2 linked regions of the Caenorhabditis elegans genome follow. The protein of the gene in region 1 purifies or fractionates together with the protein of each later gene. This does not show direct contact. Each region holds a gene or a part of one and is shown on either strand. Other genes may lie near its edges. The genes, in order: toca-2 and wve-1.

What was found.
Region 2: the proteins of toca-2 (region 1) and wve-1 purify together in Caenorhabditis elegans (affinity purification with western blotting, with the first as the bait; one study listed by BioGRID). This does not show direct contact.

The regions. Positions count from the first base shown.
Region 1 is NC_003281.10:13,752,063-13,761,047, reverse strand, and holds toca-2 (Transducer of Cdc42-dependent actin assembly protein 2 homolog), read right to left. Parts: upstream 5,105-8,985; 5' UTR 5,050-5,104; coding exon 5,017-5,049; intron 4,975-5,016; coding exon 4,859-4,974; intron 4,810-4,858; coding exon 4,686-4,809; intron 4,638-4,685; coding exon 4,477-4,637; intron 4,430-4,476; coding exon 4,324-4,429; intron 4,277-4,323; coding exon 4,072-4,276; intron 4,027-4,071; coding exon 3,945-4,026; intron 3,899-3,944; coding exon 3,822-3,898; intron 3,676-3,821; coding exon 3,426-3,675; intron 3,131-3,425; coding exon 2,979-3,130; intron 2,845-2,978; coding exon 2,738-2,844; intron 2,690-2,737; coding exon 2,639-2,689; intron 2,195-2,638; coding exon 2,065-2,194; intron 1,982-2,064; coding exon 1,807-1,981; intron 1,764-1,806; coding exon 1,700-1,763; 3' UTR 1,609-1,699; downstream 1-1,608. Other genes in the region: dbn-1 (DreBriN 1/DreBriN-like (where Drebrin is from Developmentally REgulated BRaIN protein) family homolog), read left to right, coding at 1-167, 213-811, 859-1,427; mlc-7 (EF-hand domain-containing protein), read right to left, coding at 5,315-5,521, 5,568-5,735, 8,440-8,526. UniProt on the Caenorhabditis elegans protein: Plays a role in protein trafficking, actin organization and embryonic morphogenesis. Potentially acts as a cdc-42 effector. May play a role in egg laying.
Region 2 is NC_003279.8:11,922,066-11,932,662, reverse strand, and holds wve-1 (Wiskott-Aldrich syndrome protein family member), read left to right. Parts: upstream 1-3,146; 5' UTR 3,147-3,155; coding exon 3,156-3,292; intron 3,293-3,341; coding exon 3,342-3,945; intron 3,946-5,215; coding exon 5,216-5,542; intron 5,543-6,879; coding exon 6,880-6,957; intron 6,958-7,127; coding exon 7,128-7,388; 3' UTR 7,389-8,122; downstream 8,123-10,597. Other genes in the region: R06C1.4 (RRM domain-containing protein), read right to left, coding at 1,028-1,175, 1,251-1,329, 1,829-1,856; fdps-1 (Farnesyl pyrophosphate synthase), read left to right, coding at 8,755-8,883, 9,393-9,533, 10,426-10,597.

The sequences.
Region 1 (8,985 bases):
CAGTATGAAGCTGACCGTGATCGCACGGCCGCGGCAATTCACACAAAAGCCGAAGATTTCCAGCCGGAGAAGGTTAACTCGGTGTACAAGCCGACGAAGCCCCACGTTGAGCTGAAGACGGTCAAACGGGAGGAGTTTTGGAGCAAGATGAACGAGGAGGAGAAGCTGTGGGTGTTTTGAGTAATTTATTGAAATAGAATTCGCAATTTTAGGCGTCAAGAAGAAGAAAAAACCGCTCGTGAACAAGCACACAAGCAGTTCGAAGCGGATCGACAGCGAATGGCCTCGGAAATTCACTCCAAAACAGAAAACTATCAACCGGATAAGGTCACATCGGTGTACAAGCCAACAAAACCGCACGTGGAGATCAGTTCATCAGCTCGCGAAGAGTTCTGGAGCAAGATGAACGAGGAGGAGCAGCGGCGGCAAGCGGAGGAAAAAGAGGCACAGGCCCAGAAGCAGAAGGAATTCGAGACGGATCGAAAACGGATTGCGGATGATCTTCACGGGAAGGCTCAAATTAGTGATAAGCCCGTGCCATCTTCGGTGAATCCAGCTCCAGCTCCCGCCCCCACTCCGAGCGCAGGTCTCGTTGGAAGCAGAAAAGAATTATTCAGCTCAAAACCTTCCGGTCCAGTGCTTCCGAAGCCTCAAGTGAATGGATCGCCTAAGAAGTGGCCGCCAGTTGGCACGACCTCTCCGCCCCGTGAACCCGTTAACCGACTCACTGAGCCAGATGAGCCTTCGACGTATACGCCAAAGCCAATAGCTTATGAGCCAGAGCCAATGGTTTACAAGCCCGAGGCTATGAGTCAGTTTTCGTATAAAGTTTATTAGTCCTAATTTGAATATTTTCAGAACCTGCCGTCTCTTACGATGCATACGAAGAGCCACCAGCAGAGCCAGCTCCACCTACATTCCTTGCTCCAACCCCGGTCATTGCTCCACCTCCACCTGAGCCAACTCCAGCTCCATCGCATTACGCCTCCCAGTACGATGCTCCACCGGTTCACGAGTCTTTCGAACCAGCTGTACCTCCAGTTTCAGCTCCTTCCCACTATGCGTCTCAGTATGATGCTCCGCCGGAGCCGATCGACTCTCACTCATCGAGCTCTCAACTGCCAGCTCACATCGCCTCACAGTATGACATGCCTCCAGTGATGCCAGAGGAGCCCGTGTTTGCACCGAAATCCTCGCCAATAAAAGTCGCTGCTCCACCAATTGATCAGTACGATTTCCCGCCGGCGGTCGCCGAGCAGAACGCGATGGCTCTCTGGGACTACCAGGCTGCAGATGACACGGAGATCTCATTTGATCCTGATGACATTATCACAGATATCGATCAAGTCGATAGCGGATGGTGGAAAGGACGTGCGCCCAGCGGCCGCGTAGGCCTTTTTCCCGCTAATTATGTGAAGCTGATTTAATTTGTCTAGATAGCCTAACCGTTCTTTTTTACTAATTTATTGTGCAATGTTTTTTTCCCATTTTAAACTCAACAATCCGCGGTGCCTCCCATTCTCCCACTTCCTGTAATTTATTATACCATTACTTTTTATGTGCATTTTCTCCGTAAATGGCAATATGAATCGAAAATCGAAGAATCTGTTTTTATAATCAATTATTTCATTCACAGGACGATAATAAGCGCAGTCTCGAGTACAATATTGATGATGATAATGCTATTTAATTTATGAAATCACTGGGGGAATTGCAAATACGAAGTTGGCACGAATCCTGACTCTTCGTTGTGTTTCCTGCAACTTTCATTTTATTTACTTGGTAATTCTTTGTTACTTGTATTACTTTTTGGTTCGAGTCCATCCATCTCCGTGATCGTGTTCGAGTACGAGAAGAATTTCGCCCTGCTCGATGGACATGGTCTCCGCGGAGGATTTGGCAAATTCGAACAGTGCGGTTACCGTAACCGCTGTCTCGACTTTAACTGAATCGGGAGTCGATAAAGATTTGCGAATGGCACCTGCAAAAAATTTATACTTATATTTAACTATTTTTTCTTTTATAAAAGCTTTTAAAAGGAAAAAAATGGATTTTTAATTTAACCTGAAAATGAGGATCTGAGAATCTTTGGTGATGAGATTTCGGCTCTTCGTCGTAGTGGCGTCGGAGTTGAAGACTTCGAGGTTTTTGGCGAGGAGATAAGCCGTTTCGGAGTTGTAAACAGTTGGCGGAGCTGAAAAACGCACAGTGGGTCTCTAAACGAACAATCAATTATTTTTTATTGCGCCAAAAGTACGGTATTTCGACACGACAAATTTGTACTAAACGCGAAAAGGTGTACGTATTGAAGAATACTGTAATTTCAAATTCTCGTATTATCGGTTTTTGACTATGTCCTCTAATTTTTTTTGGTATTCAACGCTGAAATAGCCAAATTATTTTTTAATTTAAAGTGTTTCAGACAAAAAACCAAAAAATAAATTGGGAAAAATAAATGCACCGTTCTTCTCGGAGAGTACACGAGATGCGTAAATCGACACATAGCGGTGTTGCAACAACATGTTAGAAGTTTGCTTTAACGGTAATTCTTATATTTTTAAGTATAAGGAAGTTTTAAAATTGAGTAAGACTTCAGTAATTTGTTTTTTTTCCTGAAAAACAACTTTTGGCTGCTTACGATATTCTTCGACGAGTCATCTGCTGATGAAGAATTTCCCGCTTCGCCAGACTGCAAAATACGATAATTTTCAGGAAAAACCGAACAGTTTAGTGATACCAGCACGTCTTCGATAGTTTTGGATGATGATTGATTTGTCGAACTGCCTGACATGCTTCTCGTTGTGTCAGGGGTATCACGGCCGCCAAAAGAGCGCTCCTGGCCTTCTGGAAAATTTGTGTTTAAAGGGATTATTTTTAAAAGAAGACATTCATTTTTTGAAAAGAGGTATTTTAACTAGAATTTTCGAAAATTTGACGAAAAACGTTTCATTTTCATCCATTCTTTGTATTTTCAGCACCTTCCACACTCATTTCAAGCATCGCGTAGAACTCCTTGAGGTTATGTATATCCATTTTGAGCTTCTCTATCTTTTTAGCGTACGATATAAGTGGTTCCGTGCACGCCGACGGATTCCCGTGCTGCGGATTTGTGTAGTAGGCTTGTTGCAGTCTGAAATTACAGCAAACGTAAAGTTTTGGGCCCGCCTATTTTAGAGATATTATTTTTCTTTTCTACACTTTTGGCAGAACTTCAGAGAAAATCATTTTTCCATTACTTAGATGCGAAATTAAGTGCCAAAAATACAGTAATCAGTTTCGAGACGACAAATTTGTGTTGAATACAAACCGGTATGTACCCTTAAAGATTACTGTAAATTTAAACTTTCATTGGACTAGAATTTGTTTGTCTTTTTTTTGTTGAAATTTTCTCAAAGTTTCAGTGCTCTCGGTGCATCTACTCGTACCTAGTGATGCCTTCTCGTCCCTGAATCGCTTGTTCCAACTGTTTTTCCATATCTCGAATTTTGGAGCGAAGACACGAAAGCCGCACGTGCGCAGGCTTGCTCTTGTCGGTATACATCAATTGATCGTTGTTGGAAGCCTCGGGCTTCTCATCCGCCTCCTTTTCCTTGAGAATGCCCAGAAAATTGCGAATTATTCGATTCTTGCTAGGGCTGCTTTTCAGCAATTTTCCTCCACTTCCGTCGGCAGAATCTGGAAATGTGTATTTTTATTTGGAAAAGGTTTGAAAATATGTATTTAGTATTTTAAAATTAAATAAATTCAGAAGATAAATTCTAGAAAAAGGAAATTTCGAGTCAAAAACTGCAAAGTTCCGACTTTTACAGATTTCTATTCACCATTTGTCCGGCTGTCACAATTTTTGGGATCCCCCAGATCCTCGATTTCAAACGGAGCCGGCTGCTCGATGGTTGCTCTGGAAATTATCTATTTTTACGGATTTTCAGTCGAAAAATACTGACTCAACGGATTTCAAAACCAGCTGAGCATCACCTTCCGCGTCGATTTTCCCAACTTCCCTTTGCATGATTTTTCGGCATTCTTCTGCAAAAAACATCGTCGATTTTTTCTTCTAAACGCGATAATAACCGGTTGAATCAGCTAGCGAGTCATCGAAGGAGACAATTTTCTGCAAAACTTGTCGCATATCGGCGATACACTCCTTGTCGACCGCCTTGAGCCGCGCGAAAATCACTGGGAGCAGTTCCACGTGGTATCTTTTTTGCTCGGCGTTGGTTTTGCGAACCAGCGCTGAGTAGTCCTGTTTAGCAAGTTCACATGCTTCATTTCGAGCCTGAAATAAATAAATAAAAGCGTTTTGCGATTTTTTGAGCCTATTACATTCGCAAGAGCCCTGGCTTTTTCTAACTCAAGCCGCGAAATTTCCAGATTTTTATCAGCTTTGTAAAACTTTTGATACGAGTTTTCCGCGTCTTTGAACGATTTTCTGCAATATTAACGATTCAAATCGACTTTTTTCAGATTTTTTCCTACAGGTAACACTTCCCAGACTTGCACATCTCGTTGATCTGATCTTCCAGCTTGTCATTGATAGTTTTCAAGTCATTAATCGCATTTTTCCGGGAACTTCTCATCTGACACGTCTTCGAAGCCACGTAGGAAACCACACCTCCCCGGATGTGCTCCGCCGACGTCTGAAATTCGATGTTTTTTTCAACTAAAATCTGACAGAATTCTTATACTTGATGTCGAGTGGCAATCTGATCAAGTTGTTGAAGAAATGAGTTGAATGAGCTGGTGTAGCTTACACTTTTTAGAATTTCATCATCTTCTTCCGATTTTTTCGCATATTTCTTTGCGAGACTCCTACAGAAAGTTATGAAAAACTTCAAATTCCGTTTGTTTAAACTGAAACCTCAATTTCGTAGAATATTCCTCCTCAATCGCAGCTTTTTCCTTCGAGAATTGACCTAATTTTTCGAAAAAATCTATTCCCTTTTGTGTGTACGAGAGGAGCGCGTTTGATGGGTCCTTAAATTTTGGTTTTAGAGTGGAAATCAATAGGAATTTTACCTGAACCGTGAAAAATCTAGAAACGGGAATCATTTGAACATCGAAAAATTGATTTGTTCGCAGAAAACCAATTGCGGAGTGATCGAGTGTAAATTTGTGATTGAAATTCAAATTTCTGTAGATCGTGTCGAGACCTGTCGCAGGTTTCAATGCGCGCGCCTTGAAAAACACAGTAGTTTAACTTTTTATTCAAATCACATTTCAGATTGTGTTTTACTATTCACAAGGACAGGCAATATTATAGTTTTAGCACGATAATTTTGGAAAGGCCGCATTACATCACATCATCAGCAAAAAATCATTTCTCAGACTCCTCAAGCCCCATCTGAAGATGCCTGTTGAGGAAGTTGTTGATATTGATTCGTCCGTCGACGACTTCCACGCCGAACAGCAAATTGTCCACCTCCTGATTCGTCATCTTCTCCCCGCCGTTTTGGAGCATGCTCTTAAGCTCCATGAGCATTATTTGTCCGTTTCCCTCGCGGTCGAAGTGCGATAGAAGCGTCTGAAAATTCGGAAATGTTGTCTAAAAAACCTTCAAGAAATCGAACCTGAAACTCCTTGAGTGTAGTGCTTCGCCCGCAGGCAGCTTCAACCTTTTTGTAGATAGGAATAAACTCTTCAACTGTGATGCGTGCTCCGGAAGTTCTTGCCTTGCTCACTTCGGCTAGAAGAGCCTCGGTAGGGTTGAGCATCATGGCACGGAGAGCTGTGGGAAGCTGAATTTTAAAAATTTGGTTTAAAGTTTCTAGGTCAATTTCGATGCTATGAAATTAGTGGTGGACCTCGATGCAACCGCGGTCGACAATCTAGTAGACATAGTTAAAATACTGCACGTTGTAAAAGAGTTCATTACGGAAACATAAAATTCTAGGAACGCGTTTTGCGCAACATATTTGACGCGTAAAATATCTCGTAGCGATATCTACAGTAATCCTTTAAATGACTACTGTAGCTCTTGTGTGTGTCGATTTACGCACTCGACTTTCGAAATGAATTAAAATCATTTATTTATCTACCAGCCGCTGACCGCGCCTACGGCGCGGCCAACGACTGGCGAAATTTAAATTGTTCGACACATAAAACACTATATAATCTTTTAACAATGTCACATGAAAACAGGTGGAAACTTTTACTTTTTCAAACATTCTGGAATGTAAAAAATATCACAGAAGCTTCCGCCTCTCTAACTCTCGAGCCAATACCTCTTCAAAAGCACAAAGTCAATTTTTTCTGAACTACAGTAACCCTACAGCAAATCCACAATACCCCTAGAGTACCTTGACATTATCCCACACCAACTCCTTAGCTCCCGCCAATATAATATCAAACACGAAGAGTCTCTCCACGAAGGGTCTCACCACGAAAGGTCTCACCACGATGGGTCTCACCACGAAAAGTCTCACCACGATGGGTCTCACCACGAAAAGTCTCACCACGATGGGTCTCACCACGATGGGGCTCACCACGAAAGATCTCACCACGATGGGTCTAACCACGATGGGTCTCACCACGATGGGTCTCACCACGAAAGATCTCACCACGATGGGTCTAACCACGATGGGTCTAACCACGAAGGGTCTCACCACGATGAGTCTCACCACGATGGGTCTCACCACGATGGGTCTCACCACGAAGGGTCTCACCACGATGGGTCTCACCACGAAGGGTCTCACCACGATGGGTCTCACCACGAAAGGTCTCACCACGAAAGGTCTCACCACGAAAGGTCTCACCACGATGGGTCTCACCACGAAAGGTCTCACCACGATGGGTCTCACCACGAAAGGTCTCACCACGATGGGTCTCACCACGAAAGGTCTCACCACGATGGGTCTCACCACGAAGGGTCTCACCACGATGAGTCTCACCACGATGGGTCTCACCACGATGGGTCTCACCACGAAGGGTCTCACCACGATGGGTCTCACCACGAAAGGTCTCACCACGAAAGGTCTCACCACGAAAGGTCTCACCACGATGGGTCTCACCACGAAAGGTCTCACCACGATGGGTCTCACCACGAAAGTTCTCACCACGAAAGGTCTCACCACGATGGGTCTCACCACGAAAGGTCTCACCACGATGGGTCTCACCACGAAAGGTCTCACCACGATGGGTCTCACCACGAAAGGTCTCACCACGAAGGGTCTCACCACGATGAGTCTCACCACGATGGGTCTCACCACGATGGGTCTCACCACGAAGGGTCTCACCACGATGGGTCTCACCACGATGGGTCTCACCACGAAGGGTCTCACCACGATGGGTCTCGACACGAAGGTTCTTTTTCTCAGAAATTTTAAATTCCAGCCAAAATATTTTCAAAAAATTAAAATTTGAATTCCCGCCAAAATATTTTCAAAAAATTAAAATTTTAAATTCCCACCAAAATATTTTCAAAAAATTAAAATTTTAAATTCCCGCCAAAATATTTTCAAAAAATTAAAATTTGAATTCCCCGCCAAAATATTTTCAAAAAATTAAAATTTGAATTCCCGCCAAAATATTTTCAAAAAATTAAAATTTGAATTCCCGCCAAAATATTTTCAAAAAATTAAAATTTGAATTCCCGCCAAAATATTTTCAAAAAATTAAAATTTTAAATTCCCGTTAAAATATTTTCAAAAAATTAAAATTTGAATTCCCGCCAAAATATTTTCAAAAAATTAAAATTTTAAATTCCCGCCAAAATATTTTCAAAAAATTAAAATTTGAATTCCCGGCAAAATATTTTCAAAAAATTAAAATTTTAAATTCCCGCCAAAATATTTTCAAAAAATTAAAATTTGAATTCCCGCCAAAATATTTTCAGAAAATTAAAATTTTAAATTCCCGCCAAAATATTTTCAAAAAATTAAAATTTTAAATTCCCGCCAAAATATTTTTAAAAAATTAAAATTTGAATTCCCGCCAAAATATTTTCAAAAAATTAAAATTTTAAATTCCCGCCAAAATATTTTAAAAAAATTAAAATTTGAATTCCCGCCAAAATGATTTCTCAGAAAATTTGAATTTCCCGCCAATTTGTGATGACGTCACAAAAGGGGCGGGGCCTATAGGACCCCTCTTAGGTGATTGAGACTACAAACTACAGAGTTCAAAGACCAAAGATCAAAGATCAAACTACAAACTACAAACGGACGGAAGGACACGCGCTTTATATATAGTAAATGATTGAATATTAAAATTTAGTAAAACATGAGAAAATTATTCGAAAAAACGAATGAAAGTTTAAAGAAATTGATTTCAAAAATCAAGCCGGTAAATCGACACAAATTCTACAGTAGTCCTTTAAAGAGTTACTGTTGTTTTCTCTTCGAAATATTTTGGGCGTCAAATATGTTGTGCAATACGCATTCTCAGAATTTTATGTTCCCGTAATATCTTAGCAGTTCTATTTTTCTGTTTTAAAAGTCTCACCTGCTTGGAATCAATTTTTCCATCGCCAAGGGTGTCGTGAAAGTGAAAAACGTCATGAACCTCATCCATAAGCCGTTGTTGAGACATTTGGAAAAAGAAAAATGACGAAAAATTCAATAAACAGAAACGTTCCGATGTGTCACTGTTTTATACAGAAATCCAATCGAGGGGTGGTGAGAATTGGGAAACAATACAAAAAGAATGAGGAGACGGTGATTCATATCATTTTTATATACGAAGCAATGTGTGTGCGGGGGGAATGTGCCTACAACATTTTTAGGCACCGAGGGCCTAGTTGATGGTTCGGGAAGATGTATTGCAGAGGTTCTCAGGACATGATGGAGGGTATGGTGGAACACCAGGGAAGGTGTTAGTTGTAATTTCCGTAAATTGTAGTTCTAGAATACTGTAGATCAGGGGTGTGCGGCAATTCTCACAATTTGCCGAGCTCGGAAAGTTCGGCAAATACAAATTAAGTATACTTACCCAACTCCGAAAAATCTTATACGTTTTGGCGTTTTTGGAGCACCCAAACTACTGAATTCT
Region 2 (10,597 bases), on another chromosome or scaffold:
GTGTTCCTCTTGTAGGTGCGGATATCCATGCTTCAGAGAATTGTGAAATACCCCTGGAAGCTCCTGAGCCAATTCGAAGAGAAACAGTTTCATATCTTTCGTTTTCAGAGTTGAGTGTTGTGTAATCAAATTTTAAAACGTTGCTTAAAAATGTTAGCAGGTCGTTTATGTTAATTTTTTAATTTTTTCTTTAAATAAATGTTTTATCTGAAACTATTCAAATTTCAAGCTCATCAAGTCGTAATGAACCAGAAAAATGCAAATTTCCAGACTGGAAAACTATAATACCTATCGTATTTCTAGTCTAAATCCTTCTCGGAGTCTGCCGCAAGTGTCGACAAACACCTCAAGTCAGAGCACGGATAAGCCTATGGTCTCTCTCGTAAAGTAGTGGAGTACTCCCGCGGATCCCGAGATGTAATCAGAAAAGTACGAACGAAATCTCTGTGTATGCACGTAGGCTCGTAGGCAAGCACAATCAAGGAAATATTTATCTGAAAAGCTTGAAAAGGCTCTCAAAGTGATGCAAAGCCAGAACAGAGTAAAAGTATGCATCATTATTTAAATTCATGAGTTTTCAGATGGGATCTGTGGAGTCAGGCTGTCTCATTGCGGTTTGATCTACAAAAAATGCGGGAATTTTCTCCCCAGGAAAGTGTGACGTCAGTTGAAAAGTCTGCGTCTCTTTTCCCTCATTTTTCGAAGATCAAACCAAAATGGGACACTTTGACACCACGTGTCAGTTTCTTTGAAGTCAATTTTCTTTATAATACTTTGCTCATGGTGCAACGATCTTTTTTTAGGTCTAAAAGCCGAAGCCTGAGCCCCAGCCTATGCTTAAGCCTAAGCCTAAGCCTAAGACTGAGCCGTAAACCTGCACTCTGTGAAAAAATGCTCGAAGTTTTCAGTTTTCAAAAAGATTTATTATTTAAGTGTAGATGGTGAAAAACATGCACGAAGATAGAATTTTTGGTGGAATGTATATCACAAGTGCAATCTCTTTGAGTCACTCGGCGGCGTTGTCAGTTTACTTGTTGGCGTAGTTGACACGAAGGTTGCGTCCATTGAAGGCAACTCCGTTAAGTTGTTCGACGGCTCTTTGAGCTCCGGCTTCCTCGGAGAACTCGACGAATGCGAAACCGCGTGGGCGTCCGGTTTCACGATCGTACACGATTCTGGAAGACATTGATTAGTTTTGACAAGGTTTTAATCGAAAGTTTCCGAGTTTCTGAGTTTCTGAGTTCTCTTACCTGACGTTGTTAACATGTCCGACGGCGGCGAAGTAGTTTCCGATCTCCTCCTCAGTTCCTTGGTATGGAACGTTTCCAACTAGAAAAAAATCGATTAGCAAAACGGGGGTAATAGTAGGTTTTGGCCTATATATAGAAAGTTACAAACTCTCACAATGCACTGTTACAGAGCAAATGCACCCTATCCTAGTCCTAGACTACGGAGACCATGACAGTGCGAAAAGTCTCTTCACCCATACTTTTTGTGGTCGAACGGCGTCTCCATTTCCAGAATTGTGTGGCGATCCGTGTGGGGTCCCGGGTACTCAGTTAGTAGACTCAGTTATACTTATACACGTGGAAGGGGACTACCTGAAATATCGGGATTTGTTGTCAAGGAACACGAATGAACCATAGAGAACGAAGGCCGATCGGAAAACGCTAACAATTATCAGAAATCGATACTTTCTGCAAGTCGAAGAAAAGTTCATCGAAGAAAAGTGTGAGAAAGTTTCAGAAGTTTTGAGAATTTTGTATCATATTCAAAATTTGTACAAATTTAAATTTAATTTTCACCACCGATTTATTACTATACTTACCGTAGACGGAGAATCCTTGGGAAGCCATGATAGATTTTTTTTTGAAGAAAAACGAGTGTGTTTCCGCGTGGAAGACAGACTAAAAATGTTCGATCGAATTTGGCAGTCCTAAAAAGATTGAGGCCAAACGCGCGGCGGGTCTCGCAGCGAACGTGCCGCACTACGGTCGATTTTGTGTAGGTTTACGGGAGGGATATTTTGGAGAAGAAATCGGCAATTGTTGGGAAAGTGAAATGCTTATTACGTAACAAATTTGACGCGAAATATACCTCGTAGCGAAAACTACAGTAATTCTTTAAATGACTACTGTACGGGCTCGGTATTCGAAATGAATTTTAGCTTCTGTGACACAACCAAGTTGGCGAAAATTGAGAATTTAGCTATATTTTGTTATTTTTCTCAGAATTAGAACAATTTCATTGATAAATAAAAAGGACCATCTCTCCGAAACCTCGCCATTTCACGATATTTTGAATATTTTGAACAGTAAATATTGAAATTTCAATCTCATTCTATTTTCGCATTTTCCTGTATCGATTTTTTGTTTTGTATATCATTTTTTAGACCGAAAAAAATTAATATTTAAATAAATATAAAACATTTCCGGAAATGAAAATATTTCCGATGAATCACAGCGAGACACTGTATGTATTCGAGAGAGTGCAGACGCTCGCTTGCGCACTTCTCGTGAGTGTTTGCTGACGCATCCCGGGTGCACCTTGGCGCATTTCTGGATTAATGATATTTTAATTGAAAAACATGAGATTTTATTGGTTTTTCCTCGTTTTTTGCAGTTTTTCCGATGAAAAAAAACATTTTCTGACAGAAATAATAATTTTGAAGCTGAAAAACTATGTATTTTATGATATTTCGTTGGAAAATTAGGTTTTATAAGTTTTTCAGTGAATTTGTGGGTTTAGCATGTAAATGAAGCAATTTTATATGTTTTCTAGCGATTTTTCCCGGTAAAGTTACCAATTTCAGCATAATTTTATTAAAAAAGTGGCTTTTCTGTTTAAAAAACTCAATTTTATAATTTTTCCAGTGCATTTTCGTGTTTACCATTAACATTAGAGTTTTTCGTGGAATTTTCCAACTAATTTCATTGATTTTGGCTGCTCGCTTTTATGAAGTTTCCAGTGAATTTTTATGTTTAACTAATTTTTTTCACGATTTTCGTGCCAATTTCCATTAAATCCATGGATTTTTACATATTATTCAGGGAAGAAAGTGATTTTTTTTCGATTTCAAGTCATCTTCTGTGAATTCTAACGCTTTCTCGCAATTTCCACCCACATAATCCCGCAATTTCTGCACATTTTCAGCAATGCCTCTAACAAAACGGGCGGTATCACCGGTAAACCTCAGCAGAGGCACAATTCCATCAACAATCCATCGTGATGAGCTTCAATGTACTGCTAATGGGACAATCGCCAATTTAGTACGACAATTGAGCTCGTTGAGGTGGGAAATTAGGTCGGAAAACTGGAATTTTATCGATTTTTTTTTGCAGTAAGCACGCTGAGAACATCTTCGGAGAGATTTATCACGACGCAATGATAATAAATCACAAATCGAACACTCTTCAACAGAGAATTGATAGATTGCACAAGAAAGTTGAAGATTTGGATTCAAATTCCGATCAAGCAACGTTGAATGAAGCGAATATGCGAAAAGCATTCAAAAGTTCAATGCTTGTAGATCAACATATTCTGGATAGAAGCACTTTACCTACAGCATTGACTGAAATATATGCAAAATGTGATCCACCGCCGGATCTTGATGCTCTAAATCCGTATAGAGACTCTGAAATCCCTGCGCTCTCTCTCTACACAAATCCCTCGTTTTTCTTCGATTTATGGAAAAAGGAGACACTAAAAGAGGTTGCCGAACGGCCCAGACGGGTAAAAAGCCCGAACGACGGGAGTAAAAGCCCGAAAAAGCGGCGGAAGCAGCCTGGACAAGGCCCTCTCGGCACGACGGCCTATAATGATATGCAGCATAGGAATCGACAGATTAGTGGATCACGGATTAATCAGCAGAATGAAGTTTTCTCGTTCCCGGAGGAATATCAGGCTCCGCAGGCTCTCGGGCTTCAGCTTAACTTTAAAAATCAGGTAGATTTTCGCGAGATTTTTCGATTTTTTGAAGAGAAAATCTCCAAACCGTTGAAAATCGGAAAAAATCGATAATTGAGCCCAAAAATTTGAAAAAAATCGAGTTTTTTGCTGAAAAAGTGAATTTTCTATTGTTTAAAAAGAAAATCAACTTTTCAACGAGATTTCAGCGCTTACACAGCTCTTGTGCTCCCCGAGCAGGCCAAAATGTTCTATTTTGGGGCAAAATTATGGGTTTCCAGTAATTTGGAGCATGAAATTTCCTAAAAATGCACTTTTTCGCCAAAAAACAAGCCAAAATCAATGAGAAAAAGTCACTTTTTCATTAAAATCTGCGAAGATTGATAAGTTTTTGGAAAAATCGCTAGAAACCCTACAAATTAACTTCAAAAAAACTATGAAATCGAATTTTTCAACGAAGTCCCAGCTTTTCCGCTTCAAATGATTTTTTACCGTTGAAAATCGGAAAAAATCGATAATTGAGCCCAAAAATTTGAAAAAAAATCGAGTTTTTTGCTGAAAAAGTGAATTTTCTATTGTTTAAAAAGAAAATCAACTTTTCAACGAGATTTCAGCGCTTACACAGCTCTTGTGCTCCCCGAGAAGGCAAAAATTCTCTATTTTGGGCCAATATTTGGGTTTTTTAGCCATTTGGGGCTTGAAATTTCATAAAAATTCACTAGAAACTTCCAAAAAGCCGAGTTTTCACCGAAAAACAAGCGAAAATCAATGAAATTAGTGGGAAATTCCTTAGAAAAAATAATTTTTCAACAGAAAAGTGCCACTTTTTCATTAAAAATATGCGAAAATTGATAATTTTTTTTTTGGAAAAATCGCTAGAAACCCTACAAATTAACTATAAAAATCCTATAAAGTCGAAAGTTTCAATGGGAACAAATAATTTTGAAGCTGAAAAGTTATGGATTCTAGAGGATTTCGTTGAAAAATTCGATTTTATAGGGTTTTTATAATTAATTTGTACGGTTTCTAGGGATTTTTCCAAAAAAACTTATCAATTTCAGCATATTTTTAGTGAAAAAGTGAAACATTTCTGTTGAAAAACGTTTTTCATTGATTTTGGCTTGTCTTTGAGGCTGAAAACTCGAGTTTTTTGGAAGTTTTCAGTGAATTTTTAAGAAATTTCATGCTCCAAATGACAAAAAAACTCTGAAAAATCGATAATTAAGCCCAAATATCCTTCTCTGGGAGTAATTTTGAAGAAAAAAACGATTTTTTCCACTGAAAATCTCCCAATTTTTGATAAATTCAGCACCCCTCCAACATGGTTGCCCCAATCGGAATGACAATGCACCATCATCCTCAACAAAATGTGCATCCGAGCCAACAACGAGGTGGTGCTCCAGCAGCAGCTCGTGGATCTCCGAATGTTAAACGTCCGACTGAAGCTCCGCCGCCAGTGAATCTGGATCACCTCCCACCACCGGATATGTCAATTTTATCGATTGATGATGATGATGATGATCTTCCACCACCACCACCACCGCTTCTCATGAATACATCAATTGTACATCAGTTACCAGCAGAAGCTCCGTCGACGATACAGTTTGTCGAGCCGAGTGCTGCTCCGCCGACTAATGTACGTTTTGGAGCTCGAGAGAATTTGGAGATTTTGGAGTAAAATCTTGGTTTTTGCGAGGAAAAAAGCTTGCGTTTTTGCTTTAAATTGTCCGTTTTCACGACGAAAAAGCTTGGAAAAGCTTGAAAAAACTAGAAAATGTGAAAAGTCTCTATTATTCTAAGTTATTATGAGCGTTTAGAAGCCTTAAGCCTTTTTCAGGCAAAATCTCGCTTTTTCGCTTTAATTTGTTCATTTGGGCCACGAAATCACGAAAAATTGGTTGAACTCTATTAGAAAGGCTTGAAACGGCTTGAAACCGTTTGGAAAAGCTTGGAAAAGCCTGACAGAGCTTGAACTAGCTTGGAAGAACTTGAAAGAGAACGATAAAGCTTGAACAAGTTTGGAAAGCCTGACAGAGCTTGAACTAGCTTGGAGAAGCTTAAAGAGCTTGAAAAAATAGTGAACAAGCTTGGAGAACCTTGAAATGGCTTGAAAACGTTTGGAAAACCCTGGAAAAGGCTTGAAAAGGCCTGCAAAAGACAGGAAAAGATTCCAAAACGCTTAAGAAAGCTTGAACAAGCTTGGAAAAGCTTGAAAGAGCAAGAAAAAGCCTGGAAAAGCTTGTAGAGCTTAAACGAACTTGTAATAGCTTGAAAAGGCTTGGAAAAGCCTGACAGAGCTTGAAATAGCTTGAATGAGCTTAACGAGCTTATAATAGTTTGAAAAAGCCTGGAAAAACCTGGAAAAGCTTGGAGGAGCTTGAACAAGCTTGACCAAGCTTGAGCAAGCCTGAAAGAGTTGGGAAAAGCCTGAAAAAGCTTGGAAACGCCTTGAAAAAGCTTGGAGGAGCTTGAACAAGCTTGACAAAGCTTGAAAAAGCCTGACTGAGCTTGAAATAGCTTCGATGAGCTTAAACAGCTTGAAACAGCTTGAAAGAGAACGATAGTGGCTTCGAAAAGCTTACAGAGCTTAAAAAAGCCTGGAAAAACTTCAAAATGCTCGTGCGAGCTTGAAACAGCTTGTAAAGCCTGAAAGAGCTTGGAAAAGGCGTCAAAAAGCTTAGACGAGCTCGAAAAAGCTTGCGAAAGCCTGGAAAAGCTAAAAAAGCCTGACTGAGCTTGAAATATCTTCGATGAGCTTAAAAAGCTTGAAACAGCTTGGAAAAGCTTGGAAATTTGTGAAAAGCTCCAAGATTTCTTGTAGTGCATAAAATTAATTTGAAGCTATATTTCTGCAATTTCCAAGCTTAAAACCCCGAATTTTTCAGTTAAAAATTTGCAATTTTTGTCCATTTTTGTGTTTCCCTCATTGTTGTCCACTTTCCGCTTCTTTCTTCAATTCTCGATCCCTTTCAGATCCCTCCACCACCTCCACCACCACCTCCAATGGTTATAAGCTCGGCTGCAGCGTCATTTGCAGCTCCGGCTCCAAAGGTAAAGGCGCTGGAACAGCAGGGCTCTATGTGTGTCTAACCCGCTGAAAATGTGTAGTTTTCCTGTGTTTTTTGGACTTTTTTGAAGCTTTTTTAGGGACAAATTTCAAGAGAAATAGCCGAATTTTCATCAAAAAATCGATTTTCTCCCACTAAAACTGAAATTTTCAGCCATCCGCGGACGGTGAAGCTGCTGGCACAAATTCCCCAGTTGCTCCAAAACAACCAGATGCTCGAAGTGATCTTTTGGCTCAAATTCAATCTGGAATAAAGCTGAAAAAAGTGCAAAGAGCCGAGGCAGAAGCCGCCGAGAATGCTGCTCTCGAGGCGAATAATGTTGCGGCGATATTGAAGAGACGAATGGATCAAGTTATGGGAAATGATGATTCAAGTAGTGAAGAAGGAGCTGATGATGATGAATGGGATGATTAATTGCTCTCTTTTGTGTCGATTTACGCAGATCTCGTGTACTCCTCGAGGAGAAGATTCTACAGATTTTGGCTAAAAATGCTTGATTTTCGCTATTTTTTCCTTGAAAATTAACATTCAAAGCGGTGATTTTTAAGCGAAAAACCCGTGAAAATAGCTCTAAATCAAGCATTATTACCCATTTTTGCATTTTTACTGATTTTTTCGGTGAAAAAAAAAACGATTTTTCGCTGAAATTCTTGATTTTCGCTATTTTTACTTGAAAATTAACATTCAAAGCGGTTATTTATGCACTTTTAAGTGAAATCTGAGTGTTTTTAAAGTTAAAAATAAAAATAATTCATTGATTTTTGCCAAAAAAAAAACCGTGAACATTGCGAAAATGGCTCAAAATCAAGTACTTTTTTTTGCTAAAATGGTTGATTTTGAGCCATTTTCGCTATTTTCACGGTTTTTTTTTGTCGGTGAAAACTTTAAAATCGCTCAAATTTCACTTAAAACGCTATAAATAACCGGTTTAAATGTTAATTTTGATAGAAAAATAGCGAAAATCAAGCATTTTTAAGCCAAAAAACTGTAAAATCTTCTCCTCGGGGACTACACGAGCTGCGTAAATCGACGCACACTTTTTCGAATTTTCTTGTGTAAATACTGCCTTGCTTTAATTTATTTATTCAAAAATTTTTAAAATTTTTTCCGCTTTCCTGTTTCAAATGAACTGATTTTTCTCATTTTTTGCCCCTCCAGAATTGTAAATTTAAATTTCCAAGTGGTCGCCTGCCCCCTCATTATTATTTCGCAATTTTATGATTCATCAGTTTTTCCAATTTTTATTCGATTTTTTTTCAATTTAAATCAATTTAAACCTTTGAAATGTAGGAAAACTTCAATTTTCGCTTAAAATTTTCAATTTTTGGTGAAAAATCGATTTTTCCGGAAAAAAAACGTGAAATTTCCAATTTGGAGCACATTTTTATGAAATTTGCATCATTTCTCTCGAATTTACGAAAATATTTAAATTTTCAGCGGAATTTGGACATATTTCCTGGAAAACTCTTGATTTTTCGCAGAAAATTGCAATTTTTCATGCAAAAATTTGTTTTCTACGCATCGGAGCTCCAAAATTCCCAAATTATTCGAAAATTCAATTTTTAGCTTTTTTTTTCTCGAAATTTCAATTGAAAATCGTGTTTTTTGGCTCATTTTAGCTCAGTTTTCAGCTGAAAAATTCGAAATTGGGCGAAAATTTGCTCAAAAACCGGTTTTTCAGCTTGAAATTTCATAATAATGATGCAACGGCTCTAAATTTTCATTTTCTCTAGTTTTTTTTGCCATTTTTCCCTCTAATTTTCTCGTATTTTCAGCAGCAATGTTCGCCAGTAGAAAGCTGGTAGAAACGGCGTTGGGCGAAGTTAAGAAGAAATTCGTACGGGTTGTGGCGGCAAAATTGCCTGCTGATGGAATGGAATACGATTTGGTTCAGTATAGATGTAGAAATGTACGGAAAAGACGATTTTCTCGGTTAAAATGCGTGGAAAAATGGCACTTTTCACACTAAAACTAGAAAAAAGTGGAGAAAAAGTCAAAAATTCACTCCAAATTTCGAATTTCCTGTTGAAAATTTCATATTTTTCGCCGCAGAAAATGCACTAAAACCAGCAGAAAAAGTTTTTGTTTGATTTTCTAACTAAAAATCCAGTTTTTTCCATCAAAAAATTCAAAATTTTCTGCTAAAAAACCAAAAAAGGAGAAAAAGTGGAGAAAAAGTCAAAACTTGACTCCAAATACCGAATTTCCTGCACATTTTTCCGTATTTTCTGCTGAAAATTCACTAAAATCAGCAAAAAATACGCCGAAAACCGGAGGAAAAAGCAGTTTTCCAGAGAAATTCTGTATTTTTTGCACTAAAAGCAGTAAATTTTCCAAAAAAAAGCCAATTTTTCACGATTTTGGTCAGTTTTTGGCGAAAAATCCAGTATTTTCCATCAAAAATTCCCAAATTTTCAGCTATTCGACAACACTGTAATCGGCGGAAAATACTCACGAGCATCCCTATGCGTTGACACAATACGGGCTTTACAGCCTCATTTAAGAGATGAAACTCAGGAGCTTCAAGCTGTGTGTGAAGCTGCTGCAACACTTGAAATTGTCAGTTTTTAGATGGAAAATCGGCGTTTTTTGAGAGAAAACCCGACTAAATTGAAGGAGAATGGGCTCAAATGAACGAATTTCGTAATGAAACTGCTCGAAAATGCAATTTTTCATTAAAAATCACCGAGAAAATCTTTTTTTTCCTAAAAATCCGAAAAATCAATAATTTTTTGCAGTTCCTGAAAATTAGAATAACCGAAAAATTGGAATTTTCTTATAAATTACCAGAAAATGGCTTTTTCCATTAAAAAAAGCATGTGAAAATCATATTTTTCAATAAAAAAAGCCAAAAAACCAAAAATTGGAGGTTTTTTTCCCGTACAAAAACCTAAAAATCTCGCTAAATCATCAAAAAATCCAATTTTTTTCACTAAAAATCACCGAAATGATATATTTTTAGTGAAAAAATTGGACTTTTTGGGTGATTTGGCGAAAAAACCTTCAATTTTTGGTTTTTTGGTTATTTTATTGAAAAATCCGATTTTAACATGCTTTTATGGATTTATGGAAAAAAGCCATTTTATGGTAATTTATGAGAAAATTCCGGTTTTTCGGTTATTTTAATTTCAGGAACTGCAAAAAATTATCGGTTTTTTCGGATTTTTAGTGAAAAATTTGGATTTTCGAGCAGTGTCATTACGAAATTCGTTCAGTTGAGCCAATAAAGGATAATAATTTCAAAAAAATCAACTTCAAACCGCTGCCACACAGAAAAGTGGGCAAAATTCGAGATTTTAGCTAAAATCTGTGCGTTTTGAACCGCCAATTCGTTTATTTAAGCCCAATTTTGGTCTACACGTTCAAAATTGTCCGAAACCTCTTAAAGAAAAGCCCGAAATTAAGCCTAAAAGCCCGCGCGAAAACTGAGCCTATTTTTTCGTTCGTTCAGATTCAAAGTTTCTACCTGATCGCCGACGATATAATGGATAATTCGGAGACACGACGTGGTAAACCATGCTGGTTTCGACGGGAAGGTGTTGGAATGTCTGCGATCAATGATGCTTTTATTATGGATTCTTTTGTTGAGGATATTCTACGTCTCGCATTGCCTGGACACGTGA